Tamandua tetradactyla: one gene and its partners. The protein of the gene in region 1 interacts with the protein of each later gene in a pairwise test. Links are inferred from orthologs where the notes say so. Each region holds a gene or a part of one and is shown in the gene's direction. Other genes may lie near its edges.

The links.
Region 2: the proteins of ARRB1 (region 1) and MAPK9 interact in binary tests that used the Homo sapiens proteins (3 or more experiments, as listed by UniProt). The link is inferred for Tamandua tetradactyla from reciprocal best matches to the Homo sapiens genes ARRB1 and MAPK9.
Region 3: the proteins of ARRB1 (region 1) and GNMT interact in binary tests that used the Homo sapiens proteins (3 or more experiments, as listed by UniProt). The link is inferred for Tamandua tetradactyla from reciprocal best matches to the Homo sapiens genes ARRB1 and GNMT.

The regions. Positions count from the first base shown.
Region 1 is NC_135334.1:70,220,238-70,227,929, forward strand, and holds the start of ARRB1 (beta-arrestin-1), read left to right. Parts: upstream 1-4,677; 5' UTR 4,678-5,750; coding exon 5,751-5,824; intron 5,825-7,692. UniProt on the Homo sapiens protein: Functions in regulating agonist-mediated G-protein coupled receptor (GPCR) signaling by mediating both receptor desensitization and resensitization processes.
Region 2 is NC_135346.1:1,029,913-1,037,299, forward strand, and holds the start of MAPK9 (mitogen-activated protein kinase 9), read left to right. Parts: upstream 1-4,368; 5' UTR 4,369-4,505; intron 4,506-5,452; exon of another isoform or gene 5,453-5,937; intron 5,938-7,387. UniProt on the Homo sapiens protein: Serine/threonine-protein kinase involved in various processes such as cell proliferation, differentiation, migration, transformation and programmed cell death.
Region 3 is NC_135331.1:100,554,833-100,562,378, forward strand, and holds GNMT (glycine N-methyltransferase), read left to right. Parts: upstream 1-4,489; 5' UTR 4,490-4,577; coding exon 4,578-4,783; intron 4,784-5,645; coding exon 5,646-5,773; intron 5,774-6,208; coding exon 6,209-6,325; intron 6,326-6,532; coding exon 6,533-6,675; intron 6,676-6,767; coding exon 6,768-6,889; intron 6,890-6,975; coding exon 6,976-7,147; 3' UTR 7,148-7,311; downstream 7,312-7,546. UniProt on the Homo sapiens protein: Catalyzes the methylation of glycine by using S-adenosylmethionine (AdoMet) to form N-methylglycine (sarcosine) with the concomitant production of S-adenosylhomocysteine (AdoHcy), a reaction regulated by the binding of 5-methyltetrahydrofolate.

The DNA.
Region 1 (7,692 bases):
GGATGGGTGTCAGTCCTCATATGGAAACCTCATCAAGAAAGCCACAGAAAGAGAGAGTCATGGGAAGAAGCAAGAAGCTGTAAGTCAGCAGAATCCAGAAGAGACAGGAGAAGACAGAAAAAGCCAAGGACCAAGGATTGCCGGCAGCCAGCCCCAGAATGCCCCAGTCTTCAGGGAGAAAGCATTAGCCTTGCTCATACCTCGACTTTGGACTTCTAGCCTCGAAACTGTGCACCAATAAATTCCCATTTGTTTAAGCCAGTCCATTGCATGGTATTTGTTTTAGCAGTCAAGAAACTAACATATAAATGTCCATCAATGGATGAATGGATAAACAAAAGGTGGCTTATACATAGAATGGAATATTATTTAGCAGTAAAAAGGAAAGAATTTCTGATACATGCTACAACATTGATGACATACAGCATGTTGAGTGAAATAACCCGGCTACCAAAGGATAAAGATTGAATGATTTCACTTATATGGAATAACTAGAATATCCAAATTCATAGAGCTAGAAAGAAAATTACAGAGTACCAGGGGTGGGATGGGGAATGGGGAGTTAATGTTTAATGGGTACTGTTTAAAGTTTTGTAATGGGTGGTGGTGATTGTAGCACAGTGAGTGTAATTAATGCCACTGAACTGTATTCCTGCAAGTGGTTAAAATGGGAAATAGTATTGTCTCCCTTGGCTAAAACTGCTGGAATGCAATATACTAGAAATGGGTTGGCTTTTACAATGGGATTTATTAGTTTACATATTTACAGTTCTAAGGCCATGAAAAGGTCCCAATTAAGACATCAACAAGACAATAGCTTCTCTGAAGAAAGGCTGCTGACATCCTGGTTCCTCTGTCACACGGGAAAGCACAGGGCCAGCGGCTGCTGATCCTTCTCTCCCGGGTTTCACTGCTTGCAGGTTCTGGCTCTTTCAGTTTCTGTGTGTCCTTTCTTGTTTCTCCCAGAGCTTTTCTCTCCAAGCCCTCTTGGTATTTCTCTCTTTGAGCTCTCTGGGCTTTTCCTGTCTTTTTTCCTCTCATAAAGGACTCCAGTGAAGGGTTAAGACCCACCTTGAATGAGCCGGGTTACATCTAAATGGAAACCACCTCACCAAGAGATCCCACCCACAATAGGTCTGCCCCTACCAAAATGGATTAAATGAACTTGGCTTTTTCTGGGATACGTAACAATTTCAAACCAGCAGAGGTATGTTACTACAATAAATAAATACTAACCCCCCCCATAGAACTGTACAGTACAATGAGTGAATCCTAATGTAAACTATGGACTTCAGTCGATAATTTAATATAATAATATTGGTTCATCAATTGTAACAAATGTACTATGCTAGTGCAAAATGTTAATAATAGGGAAAGATGCATGAGTGAGGGTAGAATAAGGATTTTTCTGTAAACCTACAACTCCTTTAAAAAATAAAAATAAAATTTAAGAAAACTTAAACAAAAGCTATTGAATAAAGGCTATAATCAAAGGTCAAATTCTGGCTTTCCTATGAATTAACTCCCCTTCGGGAAGGGCCAGAGGAAGGGAGGTCAGAGGCCAAGGTCCAGAGGAGGCTGTGGACTCAGGCAAATTCCTTAGCTTCTCTGAGCATCAGTTTGCTCATTTATAAAATAGGGTAAAGAGCATTTATCTCACCTAATTGTGGGTGCTAACTAGTGCCAGACACACCACATCCTCTCTTGGGAATTTTACAGGCTAGTGGGACATACGTGACATCTTGAATGCCTGCCTCCACAGTCTAGCGATCCGTTTGGCGTCCCTAGAATGCTCACGCCATGCTTTCCAACCTGGGAAAAGCTGTGCAGGGCAGTGAGTACCTGGAACCATCAGATGCAGCTCCCTGGACTCACTGAACTTATTTGCACTTGTGATTTGGGCACTAGCATGGGCAGAACTACAGAGGATCCTCTGGGTTGAGTGAATGAGTGTTTATAGGTGGAGAAACTGGGGTGCAGAGGCTGGCAGGCCCTGGCCTCTCCATTCTGGCTCGGGTCCTCTCTGGCTCACAGAGTGAACCTCCTGTCATCAAGGAGGCCTCTGGTCTGCTCCTCTCATGCTCCCTGTCTCCCGCTCCCTGTCTCCCACACCCAGCAGGTGACTTCCTCTCCTCCCGCTGTGGGGGTGAGGTTGGAGCCCAGAGGCCAAGGAGGGAGGGGGGTTCTGGGCCCTAATCCACGCTCTCTTGGCTCCTAACATTGCTTTGACCCTGACCTTGGACCACCCTGCCTGCCCATTCCTCCCCCTCCCCCAATATGGACATAATTACAGTAATTATGTTGAACGATACTGGGATATCATTACTCAACTATATATATATATATGTATATATGAACATAATTACAGGAGATGTTTACAGACCTGCAATCACATCAGAGTAAATTACAGCTTCCTTTTCTCTCAGTAATACTCCGATATTAGGGATCCATCAGGGTCAATTAGACCAAATCCCAGCAGTGACCTGAAGGGAAGACCTCACACTGCAAAGCAGTCAGGGACCTTAGGCAAAGAAGGATGTCAGCCAGCATTTCACAGGACACCAAGGAGCCTGGAGAGAGTGGCCTAACATTTACTGGGCACCTACTGCATGCCAGGCACTCGGGGAGTTCAGCAAACACAAGTGAGTGCTTTCAATCTAGGAACAACTCCTAGGAACAATTCTCCAGGCTGGTATTAATATTCCCACTTTACAGGTTTGGAAATTGGCTATGACAGGGCTGATGTCCAGGGTCACCCCCGGCAGGTGGTGGAGCTGGGCCCGGGTGCTTTCGAGGCTAGACTGCCAAGCACGCAGCAGGCCAGCTCTATGTCCCCTTCCTGTACTCCATTTCTCCCCTTCTCACAGCTTCCTCTTCCTGGGCTGCCACTCGAAGCCCCGGCTCGCCTCCTGTCTCCCCACCCTTATCAGTTCTCCAGCGTCGACACTGCCTTCTCCTGCCCCTTCCTCCTCTTTTTCCTGTCCCTGTAGGGCTGTTCGTTATTATCTCTCCAGAAGCGAGGGAGGGGCTGGTGCCTAGGGCGAGGGCCCTGCCAGGCGCCCGGAGTCTCACCGACCCCTAACCCCAGCCACTACCATCCGGACGCCGCCAGGGGTTTGGCCCGGGGCTCGGCAGACCTGAGGCTTCCACCCACCGACACTCGCAAAGGCTGCCCCCGGTGTGCGCAAGAGAGTGCGCTCGCACCCACGGCGTGCGCACACACGCACAACTGCACAAAAACGTGCACACCCCTCTAACCACGCAAATACACTCTATAATAGGCCCGTGCACACAGCCGTACCCACGCACCCGCACCGGCACACACCCTCGCGTGCACACAGGCGCACGTTTACCCAATCCAGCGTGCTCCCTCACATACACACGTACACACGCACACAGAGAGGCATACAGCTGGACATATGCCCATGTATATCCCCAAATGCCGACCTCGGAGCCTTGACCCGTACCACCGCCCTGCGCTCGAGCCTTCGCGCACACACACAGAGGCAGACACAGGCACAGACAGACAGTCACATTCGCGCGCGCGCGCGCGCACACACACACACACACACACACACACACACATACACGCACGCACGGTTCCACGCCCCTGGCCGCTGCCCTGGCGCTGCGCGGCGCAGCGGGGCGGCGGGCGGGGACCGGGGGCGGGGGCGGGGGCGGCGGCGGCGGCTGCGGGTCGAGCCGAGGAGGCGGAGCAGGGAGCCGGGAGCGGGCTGGCGGGCGCTCCTCCTGCCGGCCGGGGATTTTCCAGGCTGGACGCTGACGCCGCGGACCTCCCTGCGGCCGCCGCGGACCATGGGCGACAAAGGGACACGGTGAGTGCGGGCGACGGCCCGGCCCGGCACGCGTTTGGCCGACCTGGGCGAGAGCTCTGGCGGGGCCTCGAGTCCGCGTCCTGGCGCTGCGTTCGCGGCCACCCGAGGACTGCCGTGGTCTGGCTCCCAGCTCTCCTCCGCCCGAGGTCTTTCGTGTGGTCCCCGGGAGAGGCCGTGGGCCAGGGTACCCAAAGGGCGAGGACAGGTCGGCCCCACGCCGGAACACACTCACACACACTCACTCCTTCGCAGACACCCAGCACTGGCGGGCAGACGCAGGGACTCACGGGGGCAGGTTGACACACAATGGCACACACACTCGTGGGTACACAGGGCACACTCATTCTCGGGCGATCTCATGCCGGCACACACACTGACATTCACGACCAGACATTCGTCCCATACAGTGACACCCTTGGTGCACACACCAGTATACACTCATTGTCAACATATTCATACTGTTGGCATCCACGGGTACACACGCCAACATACCCCCATGCTGGCACATGCATGTGGGCGCACACCGGTATACATAGTCTCTTGCATTAATTGTCATAAACACTCCTGCAGGCACACACACAGTGTTACCTTCGCTGACACGCTCACTTGTGCTGGCACATATCTCACCAACACCAGACCACAACAACACTGACCCATGCAGACACACATCAGAATAACACCCACACAGACTGGCGCCCCGTGGGAACAAGCTAACAGATCTCGGGACTGCTGACCCGCTCCCTCCAGTCCCCGCACGGTGAGACACGGAAACACACACACACACACACACACACACACACACACACACACACACACACACACACACACACACACGGGGTGGGGGAGCCTGGGGAAAGCAGGATCCATGGGCTCTATTTCCTTTCCCTTTGGTTCCCGAGGCCTGGCGTGGCTGGCCAGGATTTGTTTTGAGCTGGAGGTGGGGAAAGGGGCTCCTGTCTTCTGAGCAGCCTGCCCTGAAAGACTTTGACTGGAAAGGGAGTGGCCATGCTTCTGAAATGGGAAACTGGGGCAAAAGGGGAGAGGATGCAGGGGCAAGGCGACCCGCAGAGACTGCTCCGTGGGACCCAGACAAGCCCCGGTCCGGTACTCACCTCTGTCTCCCTGGTTCTGTCCTTAATTCTTCTCACCCCCTTAAGTTCTGACAGAAGCCCCTCCCTTGTCTCCTCCTCTTACTGCTTCTGCAAGCCGCTCTTTCATTTGTTTCTTTCTTTATCTTGTCCTATCCTTGTGTTCCTTGTCTCTGATCTCCCTTCTCCTTTCCCTTGCTCCACCCTACCCCCTCTCTCCTTGTTTCCAATGATCATTTATCGAGAGCCTACTATGTACAAGGCATAGTTTGGAGATTGAAGATGCACAGGCACATTTTTTCCCTGAATGTGCTAATAGACTGGAGAGAAATGGCCCTGTCATGGTATTTTGGGACCACCATCAAAGTGATTTCTCACCCACTGCCATCTGAGATTCTCTCAACAGCTGAAAAAGGTGCTCCAGAAATCATTTCCAATTTCTGGAAGAAGACACCGAGGCTCAGAGATAACATATCCTCTTAACATTTACAAACTGTTCCCCAGCCATCCTCTTGACGGCTCTGGAAGGTTAATTTTCCTCTTCCTGTTTTCTGGTAGAGGAACTAGAGCACTGAGAGGCCACCTGACTTGCTTATGGTTAAGAAGGGTCAGAGATAGGGCAAAAGCTGGAACCCCCTTGGTCCATTTTTCTGTGGCTCACTTTGGGCACTGCCAAGTCCCTCAGGGGTCCTGGATTTGGGGGCCAGGGTGGGGTTCTCTGCTGTGTGCATGGGGGTTCCGGCTTTGTAGGCAACTGCAGAAGATCACGAGAAGCCTGCTTTCGACGCGATGGACGCTCCCTGTTTCAGCCAGCCTGGCCAGCCCTATGGCCCAGGTCTCTGCCCTCAGACTCCCTTCTGCGCCACGTGCATCTTCCCAGGAGCAAAGACCCTCTGAATGGTGAGGTCTGGCTTTCCTTCCCGAGGGCGGAGTGGGAGTCAGGAGCCACGGCTCCTCTCCTCTGCTGCTCCTGCCTCACCATCAGGGTGACTCAGCCCTCTTGGGCCTTGGTCTGCCTCTTTGCGTCTTGGGGAGAAGTGTCACTGGCTTGTCATGGATTGTCAGCAGGATGGGGCCACCAAGGGCAGCCAGGCCCCAAAGGCGTCTGTTGGAAATCCTGTCTCTGAGGCCAGGACTTTTTCCGTGACTCTCCCCTGATATTCCTTTAACTCACTGGGGGGACCTTGGGTGATTGCCTTCACCCTTCTGGACCTTGGTTCTCCCATTTTTCTTCCATCTCAGGGCTCTCCTCAGTTTACGGGATTCACTGGGCAGGGTAAGACTACTGCTTGCAGCGTGGAGCTCAGGACTGGCTAAACCCCTGCCGTCCCCCACAGGCACCCCTGCAGCCCCTGGAGGCCCCTCTCCACCTTTCCAGATGGGTTTCCTGAGGAATTTGGAAGAGAAGAGCAAAATAGATAATAGACTGCCTGGTTCTGTAAACCACGGGATTCTACTTGACTTATGACTTAGAAGAGGAAATTGCAAATATCTAATACTTTAAGCATCAGAAGTCATTGCATCCATCCCTCCTCCTTGAATCACACTCCCCCATTTGAAAGTGAAGACAAAAATTAATTAGAAACTGCCACTGGCCTCTCGGACTAAATGGGAAAGAGGGGATGAGACAGTGCCTCGATGGTACCGTACAGGCAGGTACACACTGGGATCAAGCCCACATTCAGTCGACAAATGCTGACTGAGTGCCTTCTGGGTACCAGGGGCTGGGGCTCAGACATGAAGGACTCTACTGTGCCCCCAGAGGATTGAGGGCAGAGCAGGTGATTATAATGCAGGGTTACATGTGTTGGGGGATGCCTAAGAAGGAGTCCCCAATCCTGCCCTAGGCAGAGGGCATGATACGGGAAACTTTCCTGGGAAGGAGGCGGTATTGGAGCTACTGAGCTTCAACTGGAAGGATGAGGGGCCCGGGAGGCGGAAGTCATTCCTGGCCATGGGTGCAGAATGTGCAAAGGTTTGGAGGCATGAAGCAACACCCGTGGTCTGGTGGTTGGGTTAGCTATGATAGATGAGCTGTAAGAGGTAAACACAGGCCAGTCATCAGCAGCCTGGAACGTCAAACAAGGGAGAGGGATTTTCTCCTGAAGTCAGTGGTGAGTCAGAGAAGAGTGTGGGGCAGGGGAGGGATGGGAGTAGATATTTGTTTCAGAGACATGCGTTTGGCAGTAGCAGAGAGGGTAAGTGGGAGGGACCGGCCTGGAAGCAGGAAGACCAGTGAGAAGCCTGGGACAGGCCTGAGAGAAGATGAGATCTGAACTGAGGCCCAGGTGGAACTGAGAGATATTAATAAAGGGGTGGAACCCATCAGCCTTGCTGGTTGACTGGACCTTTGTTGGGTCCCTGGTATTTGTCCGGAGATTTATATGCATAATCTCATTTGACTTTCCCAAAGATACTCCTAAAGTAGGGATTGTTATTCCCATTTTGCAGAGGAGGAAACTGACTAGGAGAGATTAAATAACTTGTCCACTGGCATTCAGCCATTGAGGGTTTGAGCCCAGGCCTTTCTGCCTTCGAAGTCCTCTCTGCTGCTCCACACATTCAGCCAGGAGGGAGGCTTGTCTGGCTCACAGCTGGCCTCCCCCAGAAGTCCCCAGCTCAAGTTGTGCATTGCTTCTGGGCCTTGCTGTTTCTACTAACTCAGTCGGCAGCACAAAGGATCTGATTTAGACAACAGGAGGGACTTCCTGAGAGGTAATAGGATAGAGTGGAATTTCTTTCCTAAGTTTACATACTCTTTTATCTTT
Region 2 (7,387 bases), on another chromosome or scaffold:
TTTCTCCTAATCTGCAGGCTGTGTTTTCACTTCCTGGATATCCTTCTCTGATGGGCACATTCCCTATTGGTGGAACAGGGTTACCTGCTGTTCTAGTTTGCTACCTGCCAGGATGCGATATACCAGCAACAGAACAGCTTTTTAAAAAGGGAATTTATTAACTTGCAAGTTTACAGTTCTAGGGCCTTCAAAATGTCCAAATTAAAGCAAGGCTATGAAAATGTCCAAACCAAGGTATCCAGGTAGAGATACCTTGGCTCAAGAAGGCTGATGAAGCTCGGGTTTTCTCCCTCAGCTGGGAAGACACATGGGAGGTCTGCTAGTTTTCTCCAGATTTCTTCAACTGCTCCCCGGAGGTGTTTTCTTTCCGCATCTCCAATGGTCTCTGGCTGTGCGGGCTCTGAAGCTTTCTCCAAACGGTTCCCTCTCAAAGGGCTCCAGGAAGCAACCCCACCTTGAATAGGTAGAGACGCATCTCCATGGAAACCATTAATCAAAATGTCCCACCCACAATTGGGCGAGTGACATCTCCATAGGAGCAATTAAAAAGCTCCCACCCAGCAACACTGAATGAGGATTAAAGGACGTGGGTTTTCTGGGGAACATAATAGCTTCAAACCGGCACAGCTGCCCATCCCTGAAGCAATCACTGAGGACACCGGGTACACTGAGGGGCGACGCCTGGGGCTGGAGTGCAGGGGACAGAGCCCGCAACACAAGGGGGTTCTCCAAAGTCCTGCGGAGATACAGCTGCTAAAGAAGGGATGGGGCTGGGATGGCAAACACAGCCCAGGGCCCCAGCAGGGAGCAGGCGGCGGGCTGTGGGAGGTCTGTAGGGCGCACCTGGTCCGCCTGGGAAGCAGCCACCGAGGACCCAGGCCACCCAGTGCACCTGCCCACCTTCCTGCTGCGTCCTCAGGGGCCCCGACTGTCCAGCCCGCTGCCCACAGGACTGAGGCTCGGAGAAGGGAAGCCCCAGTCCAGAGGTGCAAGCAGGAAAGCAGGGCCAACAGCTCAGAGCCCAGGCCGCCTCGGGGGTGGGGGGTGGGCCGTGGGCCATGGGATGGAGCCCAGGCGGTCCCCGAGGGGGCGAGATGGGGCAATGGGAAGCCCAGCCCCGGACTGTGCATGCGGACCCGGGCGCCCCCACTGCCCACCCTCCAGCCCAGGGGTCGAGGCCAGAGCTCCCTCTGCTCTCCTTTCCCTTCCCTTCCCCGCCCTCCTGCGCCCTCCTCTCCTTTGCCAGGCAAGCGAGCGGCAGCGGTGCTCGGTGTCCGGCAGCTGTGGCATCACGGAGGGGCGGGAGCTGCGGGTTGAGGCGGGGAAAGGGAGGGTGAGCACCCCAGAAGCCAGGAAGGGCCCACGGCCTTCCCGGCAGGGAGCCCACCCAGGGGCCGCAAAGCCGCAGGGGAAGGGGCGCACGGGGGCTGGAAAGGGGCAAGCGATGAAGCGGGGATGCATGGGGCACCGTCAGGACCGCGGGATCGTCTGTGCGACTGCGACCACAGGTGCCTGCCAGAGGCGGGGGGGGGGGGGGGGGGGGGGGGGGGGGGGGGGGGTGGTTGCGTGGCTGGCGCGTGGCGGAAGCGGGGGCGGCCGCGCGGCGGAGGCCGGGAGTGAAGCCTGAGCCCTGAGTTAACACCGGATCAGTACTGCTTAGTCAATGGTAACAAATACCAACACTAATAAAGATGTTAGTAATCCAGAGACTGGAGGGTATACGGGGGCTCCCCATACTATCTGCTCAATTTTCTGTAAACCTAAAACTGCTCTAAAAAATGAAAGTCAACCAATTAAAAACAAAAAGGCCCTTTTTCATAAAATAATTCTTTGGTTTTGGCAAATATATACTCATATAACCACGACCAAAATCAAAATATAGACTATATCCATTACCCCAGAAAGTTCTCTCTTGTCCATTACTGTCAGTCCCTTCCTCCCACTCTGGCCAGCACTGATCTGACTTTCCTTTTTTCCCAGAATGTCATATAAACAGAATCATGGAGGATATCAGCTTTTGTGGCTGGTTTCCTTCACTTAGCATGTTTTTGAGATTCATCCACGCCGTGACCTTGTCAGCATGTAGTTCCTTTTGGTTGCTGTGGCGCGCTCCATTGTTTGGACATGCGGCTTATCTGCTCTCCGGATGAGGGGCACACGGGTGGTTTCCAGCTTTTGAACTGTCAGGAATAAAGCTGCTCTAAACAATCACGCACAGATCTTTGTATGGGCACATTTTTATTTCTCTTGGATAAATACCTAGGAATGGGATTGCTGGGTTGTAGGGCGCACATATGCTTAACTTTAAAGGAAACCATCAAACCGCTTTCCAAAGAGGCGGTGCCATTTTGCATTCCCGCCAACTGGGAGTGAGCACTCCAGTCGCTCCGTGGCCACAATACCAGTCGGTATCGTCCGATTTTTAAAAATTTTAGCCATGCTAAGTCGTGCTGAGCGGCACCTCACTATAGTTTTAATTCTCATTTACCTAAAGACTTGAATAGTTCTAAAATCAATTTCTCCCTCTTGGCACCTGCTGCTGTGGCCCCAGGGAGGGTCTCATGCTTTCTCACAACCCCAACTGGTCTGACAACCCTAAGTTCCTCAATGCCCCCTTCCCCCAAAAAAACCTCTCATGCCCCAGTGACTTTCCCAAAACAAACACCCAATCACATGACCCCTTCCTTGTGTAACACGTCTAGTCAGCTGGCTGCCCTTTGCCTGCACAGTGGTACTGCCAGCTTGAGGGGCCACCAGCAGCAGGTCTCCTCCAGGACATGTGCAGCCAGAGTGGGCACGGGGTGGGGGAAGGATTCTGTGCACCCCTCCAAGGCAGAGACCCCACCCCAACCTGTCACCCCAACTGTGCATCTGCAAATGTCACTGCATGTCATAAGGCAGAAAAAGGCAGTATCTTTGGACTGGATTCCTTATAGAAAACTTAGTGTGGAATGTGTGTGTGTGTGTGTGTGTGTGTGTGTGTGTGTGTGCGCAACGTACAGTGATTTCTGGCTCTTCCCTGGCATGGAGTGAAGGGTGCCCTGAAAGGTGGGTGCTGTAAAAGCAGGCCCCTGAGTGTTCCCGGGCAAAAAGGTTTTTCTGGTTTGCCAAAATACTTGTTTTTGATCATGCAAATATGCCTGAGGCCAAGTGGCAGGCAGGTCAGTGTGAGGTGAGGACAGGCCGCCTGGACCTGTCTCTCCTGTCAGCCTCGCTCTAGCAGGAATGAGCCGGTCACCCCTTTGCCGGCCAAGGTCAGGGGCCCGAGGCTCCCTTAGCTCCTCCATCCCACCCCTTCCCCGAGGCCTGAGACCCCGGTGCCATCAGCCTCACCCCGCCCGGGGTCCCCAGCCCCTGACTTCCCCAGAGGGCCCTGCTCCCAGCTCTCCAGTCCACGCACCGGCGTCCTATGACTGCTGCTTTCCCATTTACCGACCACCATTTCCTACTTGCCTGCCCCCAAAGTCAGCCCGCCTCCTCCCGGTATGCCCTGACCGCTGAGCTTTCTCTAAATTTGCCCAAGCTCCTCCCGGACAGGTCGCTCAGCCAGGCGCGATGGCAGACCCCACCGCCCGAGGTGCTCCCGCCGCCCGAGATGCACCCACCGCGGGAAGAAAACTCAGGCCTGCCAGTCCCCAGCGGGACGGCGGGGCTGTGGGAGACGCCTCCAGAGAGCTCCGAGCAGACAGAACCCGGCCTCCCGCGGCCCCCCCCCCCCCGCGCCCCCTCCCTCGGTATAAATCTGCCCCTTTGCTCCTCTGACACAGAGGCTGCCCCTTCGGACCTCCTTACCCCCAGCATCCAGAGCCCCGGCCCCGCCTCTCTCGCGTCCCTCCCCGGCCCCGGGGGAGCGTCGACGTCTGCGTCCCACCTCCTCGCCTCCTCTTGCTTTCCACCGCCCCGCCATGGCTTGTAGCCACGCCCGCGGCAAACCCGCTCCCGGAGGCCGCGCAGCGACCCACGTCCCCGCGCCTCTCTCCGCTCCTCGCTCGCGATCCTGGGCAGCTCCTGCCCTGTCCCCGCCGCCACCCGCCCGGCTCTCGGTCCGGTCAGCCTGTCGGTCCACCCTCTCGGCCCCATCCGGGCTCTGCAGAACCCGCAGGCGTCCGCACCAAGACCTCAGGCTCCGGGCGCGCGGGTCTCGGCAGGCGCCGCACAGACCTCGGGCGCCGGCACCCGGACCTCAGGCTGCGGGCCGCGCCCCAGGCCCCTCCCGCTGGCCTGGTCCGCCCCCGCGGCCCGCCCCGCGGCGCGATTGGCCGGGCCGAGTCTATTGGGCCAGGCTCTCCGCGCGCTGATTGGGCGGCTGGCGGGTCAGTCGGGCCCGGCGCCGCGGCGGCGGCGGCGCGGGGGGAGGAGGAGCGGGACCGGAAGGGGCTACGCGCCGGGCGCCCTCACACCCACTGCGGCGGCCGGGCCCGGGCGGGCTGCGGGGGGCGAGCAGCAGCGTGGGGCCTCCGAGCCGCCCGCCAGCCCTGTCCGTCCGGCGCGGCGGCGGGAGCGAGGTGAGCCTGCGGGGCGGGCGGGTAGGCCTGGCGGGGGCTGCGGCCCGGGGGCTGCGGGCGGAGGGCGGAGGGTTGCGGCCAGGGGCACGGGCCGGGGTCTCAGGCGGAGGGCTGCGGGGGGCGCTGCGGGCCGGGGGCTGCGAGGGTGTTGGAGGGCCGGGGACTTGGGGGTCGTGGGGCTGCCGGGGGAGCTGCGGGGAGCTGCGGGCGGGGGCTGCGGTGCTGCGCGGGCCGGCGCCGCCCTGGCCTCGCGGCTGCGGCGGACGCCCTTCCCCCGCGGCGGTCAGCACCCGGGGCTGGGGCCCGCTCCAGGGCCGGGACGCGCCGGGGATGAGGCTGGGGTGAGGTCCGCAGGTGCCCGCCTTCGGGACCGTGGGGCCCGCAGCCGCGCAGCCGCGCCGGGACGTGCGGGAGCCCGGGTCTCGTCACCGCGACCTTGGCCGAGGCGGGGCCCTCGCAGCTCCTGGATGTTCTTCTGGAGAAAGTAAGGGAACACCCACTGGCCTGGGCAGGGCTGTGGTCAGGTGTGCGGCTGTGTGCGGGCGCCTGGAGCGGTAGCCCCGCATGCTTGTGCACCAGTGGGAGGGATACAGCCTCCTGCTGCAGTGTGTGGCAGGAGACCCCCCCATCGCCCCCACTCCTCCAGTGCGTTGTCATTGCACACTCAAAGCCAGGCCACTCCTGAGTGTTCCCTGCCCAGCTGTCCTGCCACTCCCCCCACCCACAGCCCCTCACGTGCCTTTCCCGGGGCCTTTACACTTGCTGTTTCCCAGGGTTGGAGTTGGCTTGGGGTCTTTGCAGAGCTGGCCCCTCAGCATTCCTGCCTCTGGCCAGCATGAATAGCCTTCTTTGACCACCCTCTGTCTTCCCTTAGTCATTCTGTCTCCTTGCTTTAATTCTCTTCTTAGTTTACTCTGGTTTGAAACCATTCCATTTATTTGCTGCCTATTTTCTGTTTGCCTACTAGGATGTAGGCGCTGTGAAAACAGGTAGTTCTGTGATTTGTTCACTGCTGTCTTCTCAGTGCTGAGAAAGCATCCAGTGAGTAGCAGTGATATCAGTTGAGTGAATGAATGAATGATCTAAAGAGAGACCTGGCGGTGCCTCTGGTTCACCTGTCCTTTAGTAATTTCGGGCTAGCTAGTGGAACCTGGAAGCAGATGGAAGCCTGTTCTCATTTTGTGAAACATTTTCATGGCCTTGACCTCTTTATTTGGCAACTATTGGAGCAAGCTATGGATGGAAAAGCTACATATTTGTGTCTTAGCTTGAGCTTATTTTGCTACATGCAGGAGGCACTTGTGAGTTCCGTGTTATCTAGGTCAGGCTTTGTGCCGGTGCAGGGGACACAAAGGAGATGGTGGCAGGGTCCCTTCCCCCAGAGAGCCTGAGAACCCCAGAAGGAGCCAGGCAGACAGTTCCGGAACAGCGGGTAACTGCCGCAGTGGAGGGGCCGTGCTGTAGAGACAGGCAGGAGTGACAGGTGGTGATGGAGTCGGGTCTGGATGGGAGAGGAGGCGGGTGGGAGCGGTGACTTCTGCCAGGCAGCAGAGGCGCTCTAGATTTTTAAGTTCAGTCTCCTTGTTTTTATATACCGACAATAAGTAATTATACTCTTTTTTTTAATGCTTATGTTTATGTTAGCCAAGCTAAACATAAACCCCATGCAGCTTGTCGGCAGGAATTTCAGTCTGGGGACCTGCTGCTGGGGAGAAGCTGGAAAGCCGCCTGAGGCCCGGGGAGCTGGGCCGGGGTATTTCCTGCTGTCCCTGCAGCTCTGGGGGGAGCAGCCAGGACGTCCACACTCCCCGGGGAGAGGGTTGTCCCTGCTGCCTTGACACGGTGGCTTCCCACCAGGCAGCTGCTGGTGAAATCTGAATCCAGGTCTCCGGGCAGACCCAGTGGCCTTCCCACAGTCCCTTAGCTCTGAGTATTGTCTTCTGGCTTTTAATTGAATTTGTTGTAAATGACCCTTTCCTCCTTTAAACCTTTTGTTCTCCCTGCAAAAGGATCCTGAGAGGTTAAAAAGAATCCCGTTTGGCACAGTATTCTCTGGAAAGCTTTGGCATTCCTGAGAATTGAGTTTTCAGAGTGCCATGACTTTAAATAATTTATGGGGTCCCCAAAATGTTATGCCGAGTACACTTGAATTTCATGTTTGTCTCATTAAAGTAAAATTGTCATGATTTTCTGGATGAAGAAAAGTTCCAGACAGAGCAGTTAATAGAGTAGATACGTTCCCGTTTTCATGATGCATAGAGTAAAAGAGAAACTACTTTTTTTTTTTACTGTTTTTTAAAAAAGAAGAAACTACCTTTTCTAAGGTTCCAGTTACATGTAATTTTCCTGAAGAATAACTAAGTTGGTACTTGGCCTTCTGTAAACTGTGATAGTTTGTCTGTCAGGCTTTTATTTTAACTGTGTCTTATGGAGATTTTTAAACTTATATGACAATAGCTAGAAGAGTACCCAGCTTGTGCGGTTATCAGCTCACGCCCAGTCGTCTTTCCTCTCTCACCTTCCTTAATTTCATACCTTATACCTGTGGCCTTATGCCCTCCCCCTCATCAATTTGGTTTGTTGTCTCTAAGAGGTGAGGAATCTTTCTAACTTGAAAGAGCCATAATTCCTTAAATAATCAGATAACCAGTATTCGAATTTCCAGTTGTCCCGTGTTTTTATCATTTATTTCACAGTGTGTTCATTTGATTCAGCTAAGGTCATCCACATTTTGATTGTTTGATGTCTTTCAACTTCTTTTAATCTGTAGGTTCCTTCTCTATTCTTTTTTGTTGTTGTTTTCTTTGTAGTTTATTTCTTGCAGTTTGTCAGAGAGCTTTGTCGTTCTATAGTGTTTCCACATTTGGGATTTTTCCTGATTT
Region 3 (7,546 bases), on another chromosome or scaffold:
AAACGGAAAAACAAAATACAATAAAACAAGAAAATGTTTAAAGATGTTTCCCTTTCTTCCTTCCTTCCTTCCTTCTATCCTTCCTTCCTTCTCTCTGTCTTTCCTTTAAAAAAAAAAAAAATGTTGTCTTTTCAGCCAATTCCAAATAATAAATGTTGCATATTTAAAATATCACCTATTCTCATTTTCAACTAAGTCAAATTATAAGTTGGTTTATATATTCTGTGACCTTCCTTTCCATGTCCCAGGTCCTTGGGCTAAATTTACAGTTTATCTACAAGAAAGACAAAAATAAAAGGTGGTTTAATATCTTTCAGTGGGCAGAACAAACAATTTAGAGATGAAGGACTGCAATTATTTGATACATTCTGGTAGTAATTAAAGAAGAGTATAACAACTAGGTATAATTTTCTACCTAATGAAATATCAGTGACAACCTCATGTAAATAATTGAAATAAACTTGTTTTGGGGTGACAGTACTAATTAATAGAAAAATTCCATTTGGAAAATGGCTTGATTATATCCACATATTCACTCTTTTGAAAAATTGTGAGATTTTTAAATGTTTAAAACTTGAGGAATGATTAAACAAGTCACAGCACATCTACCCAATGGACTATTATTTAGCCACTAAAAATATGTTTAAGGGCAAGGAATTTATGGTTAAGAAAATAAAATATGCTTTTGATAGTTTATATATATATGGAACTATTAAACTTTCCCATCTGGGAAACCCCAGGTACCCTCTCAACCATTGGAGACTCCCCCAAAAATTAGGCAAGCACTGAATTTTTTTAAAAAATATTTTTATTGATAAAACAACACACAAACAATTTTAACATACATCATTTCATTCATGGTGTACAATCAGTGGCTCACAATATTATCACATAGTTGTGTATTCAACACCATGATTATTGTTTAGAACATTTGCATCACTCCAGAAGAGAAATAAAAAAGAACAAACTTATACATACCACACCCCTTATCCCTCCCTCTTATTGACCACTAGTATTTCCATCTACCAAATTTATTTTAACCTTTGTTCCCCCTATTATTTGTTTATTTTTTTATTCCATATTTTTTGCTCATCTGTCCATACCCTGGATAAAAGGAGCATCAGACACAAGGTTTTCACAATCACACAGTCACATTGTAAAAGCTATATCAGTATAAAATCATTTTCAAGAGACAAGGCTACTGGAACACAGCTCTATAATTTCAGGTACTTCCCTCTAGCCACTCCAATACACCATAAACTAAAAAGGTATATCTATATAATGCTTAAGAATAACCTCCAGGATAACTTCTCAACTCTGTTTGAAATCTCTCAGCCACTGACACTTTATTTTGTTTCATTTCTCTCTTCCCCCTTTTGGTCAAGGAGTCTTTCTCAATCCCTTGATACCAGTCCTATCTCCTCCCAGGATTTCTATCCCATGGTGCCAAGGAGATTTACACCCCTGGGAATCATGTCCCATGTAGAGCGGGAGGGCAGTGAGTTCACTTGCTGTGTCAGCTTAGAGACAGAGGTCACATCTGAGCCACCAAAGAGATTCTCTGGGGGTTTCTCTTAGGCCTAACTTTAAGTAGGCTTAGCCTATCCTTTGCAGGAGTAAGTTCCATAGGGGCAAACCCCAAGATCGAGGGCTCAGTCTATTGATTTGGTTGTCCCACTGCTTGCTAGAATATCAGAAATTCTTCAAATGGGGCAGTCAAGCACTGGATTTTGAGACTTGCCCTTACAAAGCTTAATTCTGTAGGGGGATACCCATAACAAGGCCTAAGAGTTGCTTCCATGAAGCCTCTTTGTTGCACAGATGTGGCTTCTCTCTAAGCCCAACTCTGAAGGAAAATCATTACCTTCCTCTCTATGTGAACATGACATCCAGGATTGAAAATCTCACTGGCAATGTGGGACATGATTCCCAGGGATCATGGGATCAACAATGCCTTCCTGACCAAAAGGGAAAAAAGAAATGTAACAAAATAAGGTATCTTTGGCTAAGAGATTTCAAATAGAATGAAGTCTATTCTGGAGGCTACTCTTACGCGAGTTTGAGTTAGATATTACTAATTACGATGGTTTGCCAAACCCCAACCAAGACCATTCCTGTTAACCCTAAAAAATACCTAGGACTCTAATCTGAGCTTCTATGAAAGTTTCACACACTAAGATTACTGTCCAGAAACCTACAACCTCCATATGGTTCCTCGGCCAAATAAGTCCTGACATCCAGAGGGGCCAGCCTCTCCAAGAACATCAACCAGTTTCATTCCCCTATCCCATATCATCAATATCCCTTTCCAACATGAAAAAATTAGAATGACCATAGCCCAAATACCCCTCAAGATTAGTTGAAGGATCAAAGGAGAAGGAGAAGTTATAACAGAGAAGTTATGATTTAACAAATGAGTATGACTGCTGAATCATTATATTGCTATTTCTTTTAGTTTCCAGTGTCATGGAGCAGCTAGAAGGAAAAACTTGAAATTGTGGAACTGTAACCCATATCAAACTCTGAAATCTGTTCTATAACTACTTGTTGCAATGTAATTATAACTTTGAAATTTATTGCTTTTTTTGTGTATATGTTATTTCACAATAAAAAATATTTAAAAAAAAAAGGAGGGTTACAAGGGTGAGCCAACCTCCTATCTATTTCAGCATTCCTTTCCTAGACAAAAGCAAACGGGAAAGAAAGCAATAGTAAGGAAAAAAATAAAATAAATTGCCCTAGCCCAGTTAATTCTCAATTATTTTATGTTCAGTCAATACATCTATCATCTATAGATAGTGACAACGAACTTGTTTTGTTTGTTTATTCCAATTTGACATCATTTTCTTCCTAATTTCTTAAATGTATTTTCAGAATTCCAGTATGTCAAAATCAAATAATTCAGTAGGGCGAGTACTCCTTAAAATATCAATTCCTGTAATGTGACCAAATTGTTAGTTAACAGATATAAGTCTCAGCTCATCAATGTATAGCCAAATAATTACTTTTCTCCTGATTTAGGGAAAAATAAATATCAAGTTTATTTTAAGTAAAGACCCATTTTTCTACCCAAGGAAATAACTTATTTTCTTGGAGAGACCTCAGACATGAGAGAGAGAGAGAGAGGGAGAGGGAGAGAAAAGAAAGAAAGAAAGAGAAAGAGAAGGAAAGAAAGGGAGGAGAGAGAGGGAAAGAAAGAAGGAAGGATGAGAAAAAGAAGGAAAAGAAGGAAAGAAAGAAGCTAACTCCAAAGAGAGAGAGGAATATATATTATGCTTTGATGCCAAGTGCCAGGATTATTACCAGCTGACAGGATAATTTTTTTAACATAAGAATTTTTAAAAAGCTAGGACTTCCTTTAAAATATTCTGATAAAAGAATGAGTCTGGGTTTGCTTACATCTCCCCAGTACAGTACATCTTTAAGCTGTTGCCAGAGAGAGGTCTTGAAGCATCAGTGGGAGCCCAAGGCTCCTTTACTTGGATACCACAGGCTCCTTTGAAGCACTGTCTGTGCTAAAAATAAAAGTAAAAAAATAAGCGTGATTATTATATGATTTTGGGGATTCTTCCAGCTTTAAGATTCTGTAGAGGATAAGGGGGTTAGACGAGCCTCCTTTGTCCTAAATCCCATAACTCACTCTTTCAGATGCTTGAGGAACAAAAAGACAGGTAGGGAAGGCTGTTGTCCCTGACTAAGGCATTGCTGAGTCACTTCGTGTTGGTGAATCCACCTGGGTTCAGAGGACAGAGATGTCTCAGAAACGTTCTGCTCTGGGTGGAAAGGGTAGACTAACCAAACCCAAGCACCAATTTATGAAGTAGCAACGAGCAATTTAATAGCAAAGGCGCCAAGCACTCCCACCCCTGCTCCCAGCTGCGCTCTCTATGGGCACCTACTTGGTCGCAGATGGTTTTTAGAAGGGGTGGGCATGGAAGACTCCATATTGGGTGGCTCACGGAAAAGCCTGATGCGTCCCCTATACAACAGAGGCGCATGTGCCGCGGCTTGGGTGCGTATCACTGCTCTCTGCCCTTGAACTTGGATGGACAGACCAGCATTATCCTGACACTCTTCATTTTCTCCCTCCCTGATTGAATAGGCTTCCCTTCAGCAGGACGTCGATTCCTTACTTAGATATGCTAAAACCTGCCTTCCCTGCGGTCTGTCCAGTCCTGCCCGCCTGGGCGCTCGTCTGTGAATTTTGGGGTTGGAAATTTTTTTCCCTTTCATTCCAACTTGTGTGGTGGGTGGGTGGGCAATCTCACTGCTCCCCTCTCCCGGCCACTCCCGGATCCTCCTGGCGAGCCAGGCCAGGTGGGCCGAAGGTGGGAAGGGTAGGAGGGTGCTTTCCCGCGGTGGAACTGCCCAGAGAGCTAGGTTCTCAGTCCGGCGAGAAGGGCCCGGTCCAGGATTGCGAAGCAGCGCCCTCCCCGCGGCCGCGGGCACCCGGCGGGGAACCAAGCAGGGGCGTGTCCCCGCGCTCACCTGCCATTGGCCAGGTGGGGCGCCCGGCCGGGGGCAGCGGCCGCGCTATAAGCGTGGAGCGGGGGCCGCGGAGCTCAGCGCGGCGCAGGATGGTGGACAGCGTGTACCGGACCCGCTCCCTGGGAGTGGCGGCCGAGGGGCTCCCGGACCAGTATGCAGACGGCGAGGCGGCGCGCGTGTGGCAGCTCTACATCGGGGACACCCGCAGCCGCACGGCCGAGTACAAGGCCTGGCTGCTCGGGCTGCTGCGCCAACACGGCTGCCAGCGGGTGCTCGACGTGGCCTGTGGTACCGGGTGAGCCCGGGCGGGAGCCGGAGCGGGGAGCCGGGGGTGGCTGGGGGCAGCTGCGGGAGCGCAGGGCCGCAGCCGGGCACGTCGGGGCAGCCTCCCCTGCCAGTCCGATCGCAATCGGTGTGTGCCGGGGCAGAACGGCTCGGCGAGTGTACAGGCGAGGTCGATGGGGGGAGAGTGGTGAGGAGACCAAAGTGGGAATGAGGGTGTGAGCACAGCGCTTTGGGGAAGGCAGAAGGTGCCTCAGGGCAACAGAAGACCCTGGGCTTTGGAGCTAAACCTATGGTGAGCTCGGATTGGGCTCACGGGTTGTTCCTAGTTTGCTGGCCTTGGGCAATGATAAGGTAACATCTGTCTGTGCCAAGTGCTTTGCCAGGAGCTTTTGATAACATTTGTTAAAGATCCTCACAAAAACCCATAAAATAAGTTGTGGGAAAATGGAAATTAGGCTGCAGAGAAATAAAGGTCTAGTGGAGAGAAGATACAGACTGAAGTTGGTTAGTCTGGCCTGTGCAGGAAACCATTTCCCTTATACTGCCTCCTGTGCACAAGTTCCTGAACTAATCCCAGCCTCAGTTGCTAATGTTAGAGTTGGATACCTCCATCTACTAATAGGATTGCTACGAGAATTAATGCTTAGCTGTGAATAAGTGCTTAAAGAAAAAGTTGCTACCTGGTGATAAGAAACAGATTTATGAAGTCATCCTTGGTCAGTGGAGAGGGCCTGGGGTGGGGGGTGGTGTGGGAAGAAGAGGAGACGGCTCTGAAGGTGAGACAGTGTCCAGCACAGGGCCTCCTCCTTGCCCTCTCAGCGCCCCCACCCCCCAACTGCCCCTGCCTACCTGTCATCACTGGCCCTGTCCAGGGTGGACTCCATCATGCTGGTGGAGGAGGGCTTCAGCGTGACCAGTGTGGATGCCAGTGACAAGATGCTGAAGTATGCGCTAAAAGAGCGTTGGAACCGGCGGCACGAGCCCAGCTTCGACAAGTGGGGTATGCAGGTCCATCCAAGCCTTCTCAGCTCGGTCACCAGGGACAGTTCTCTCTGCTCTGGGTGACTTTATCCCATAGTGGACTCTCTATTTCTCCAGGGGGACATTAAGAAGATCAGAGTAAAGTACTGCCATTTCCCTTAAAAGGGAGGCTTAGGTGCCATAACAAGCATTGGGACATGAGGAGCTAATTTTAAATGTTTATAGTGCCCTGTACCCCACAAATAAAAACCCATAAGCCCTCCTTTCCCATCATGGTTTCCTTCTCCTCCTCCTCTGGACCCTCTTCCCTCCTCACCTTCCATGTCCCTTCCCTCAGCTGGATGGGGAGTCCCTGTGTACCTGTCTAGATAGGAAAACTGAGGCAGGACTGCACTTGGTAGAGGTGGGTGCTACTGATACCATGGAAATGATGCTGCCGTTTCTTGGCTCCCAGTCATTGAAGAAGCCAACTGGATGACTCTGGACAAAGATGTGCCCCAGCCACCAGGGGGTGGCTTTGATGCGGTCATCTGCCTTGGAAACAGTTTTGCCCACTTGCCAGACTGCATAGGTGAGAGAGGGTATGGCCCTGGGCATGGCCTTGCCCTAAGCTCTACCCTTTCTAGAGACCCCTTCTCCTGGTGCCTGCTCCCTCACTAAAGCAGAGTCTGCTTTGTCCTTCTTTGCCTTGACACTGGCACTGCTGGGAAGGGTAGAAATGGGAGACTGGTGCTGGGGTCCCCTGAGCAGACCCTCCCTGCCCCTGTCTGGAGCTCAGGGGACCAGAGTGAGCATCGGCTGGCACTGAAAAACATTGCAAGCATGGTACGGTTGGGGGGCCTGCTGGTCATTGATCATCGCAACTACGACCACATCCTCAGCACCGGCTGTGTACCCCCAGGGAAGAACATCTACTACAAGGTGAGGCCTGCTGGGGGAAGGCAACCCCAGGTGGGAGGTGTGGCAGGGTTCCCGATGGGTTGCTGAGGCTGATGTTGCACCGTGGCCTACAGAGTGATTTGACCAGGGACATCACAACGTCAGTGCTGACTGTAAACAACAAAGCCCACATGGTGACCCTGGACTACACAGTGCAGGTGCCAGGAGCTGGCCTGGATGGTTCTCCTGGCATGAGGTAACCACACAGCTAGGCCACGGGAAAGGAGGAGGTGGTGGTCAAGGGGGAGCTACCCCCATGGTTGATTGGGGTCTCTCTTGCAGTAAGTTCCGGCTCTCCTACTATCCACACTGCCTGGAGTCCTTCACAGAGCTGCTCCGAGAAGCCTTTGGGGGCAAATGCCAGCACAGCGTCCTGGGAGACTTCAAGTCTTACAAACCAGGCCAGGCCTACATTCCCTGCTATTTCATCCACGTGCTCAAGAGGACAGGCTGAGTGGCCTGCTTCTGTCTGGGGAGGTGGGGACCAGCAGTCCCACATCAAGCCCCAGCCCCAGTGCAGAGACTGGAGGTGTGGAGAGGGGTAGACTCCAGGGCTGGAGTGCAGGGATTTGGGTTCAGGCAAATGGAAAAGCAAACAATATAGCTGTGGCCTTCACAGTTCCTGCATGCATGCCTTGTGTTTCTGTCTAGAGGATCAGGCTCCTGTGGTCCTCACCCTTGTTCTCCCCTAGAGCTTACCGACCCTACTACTTGCCCTGTACCCCTCCAACCTTTCAGCCATACCACCAGCAGGGGGCAGCATATACTTTATTTTCAGCACAGATCTGCCCACCCCCACCCACCCACACACCACCCCCCCTTCCAGGGCTCAATCCCCAGAACTGCAGGCCCC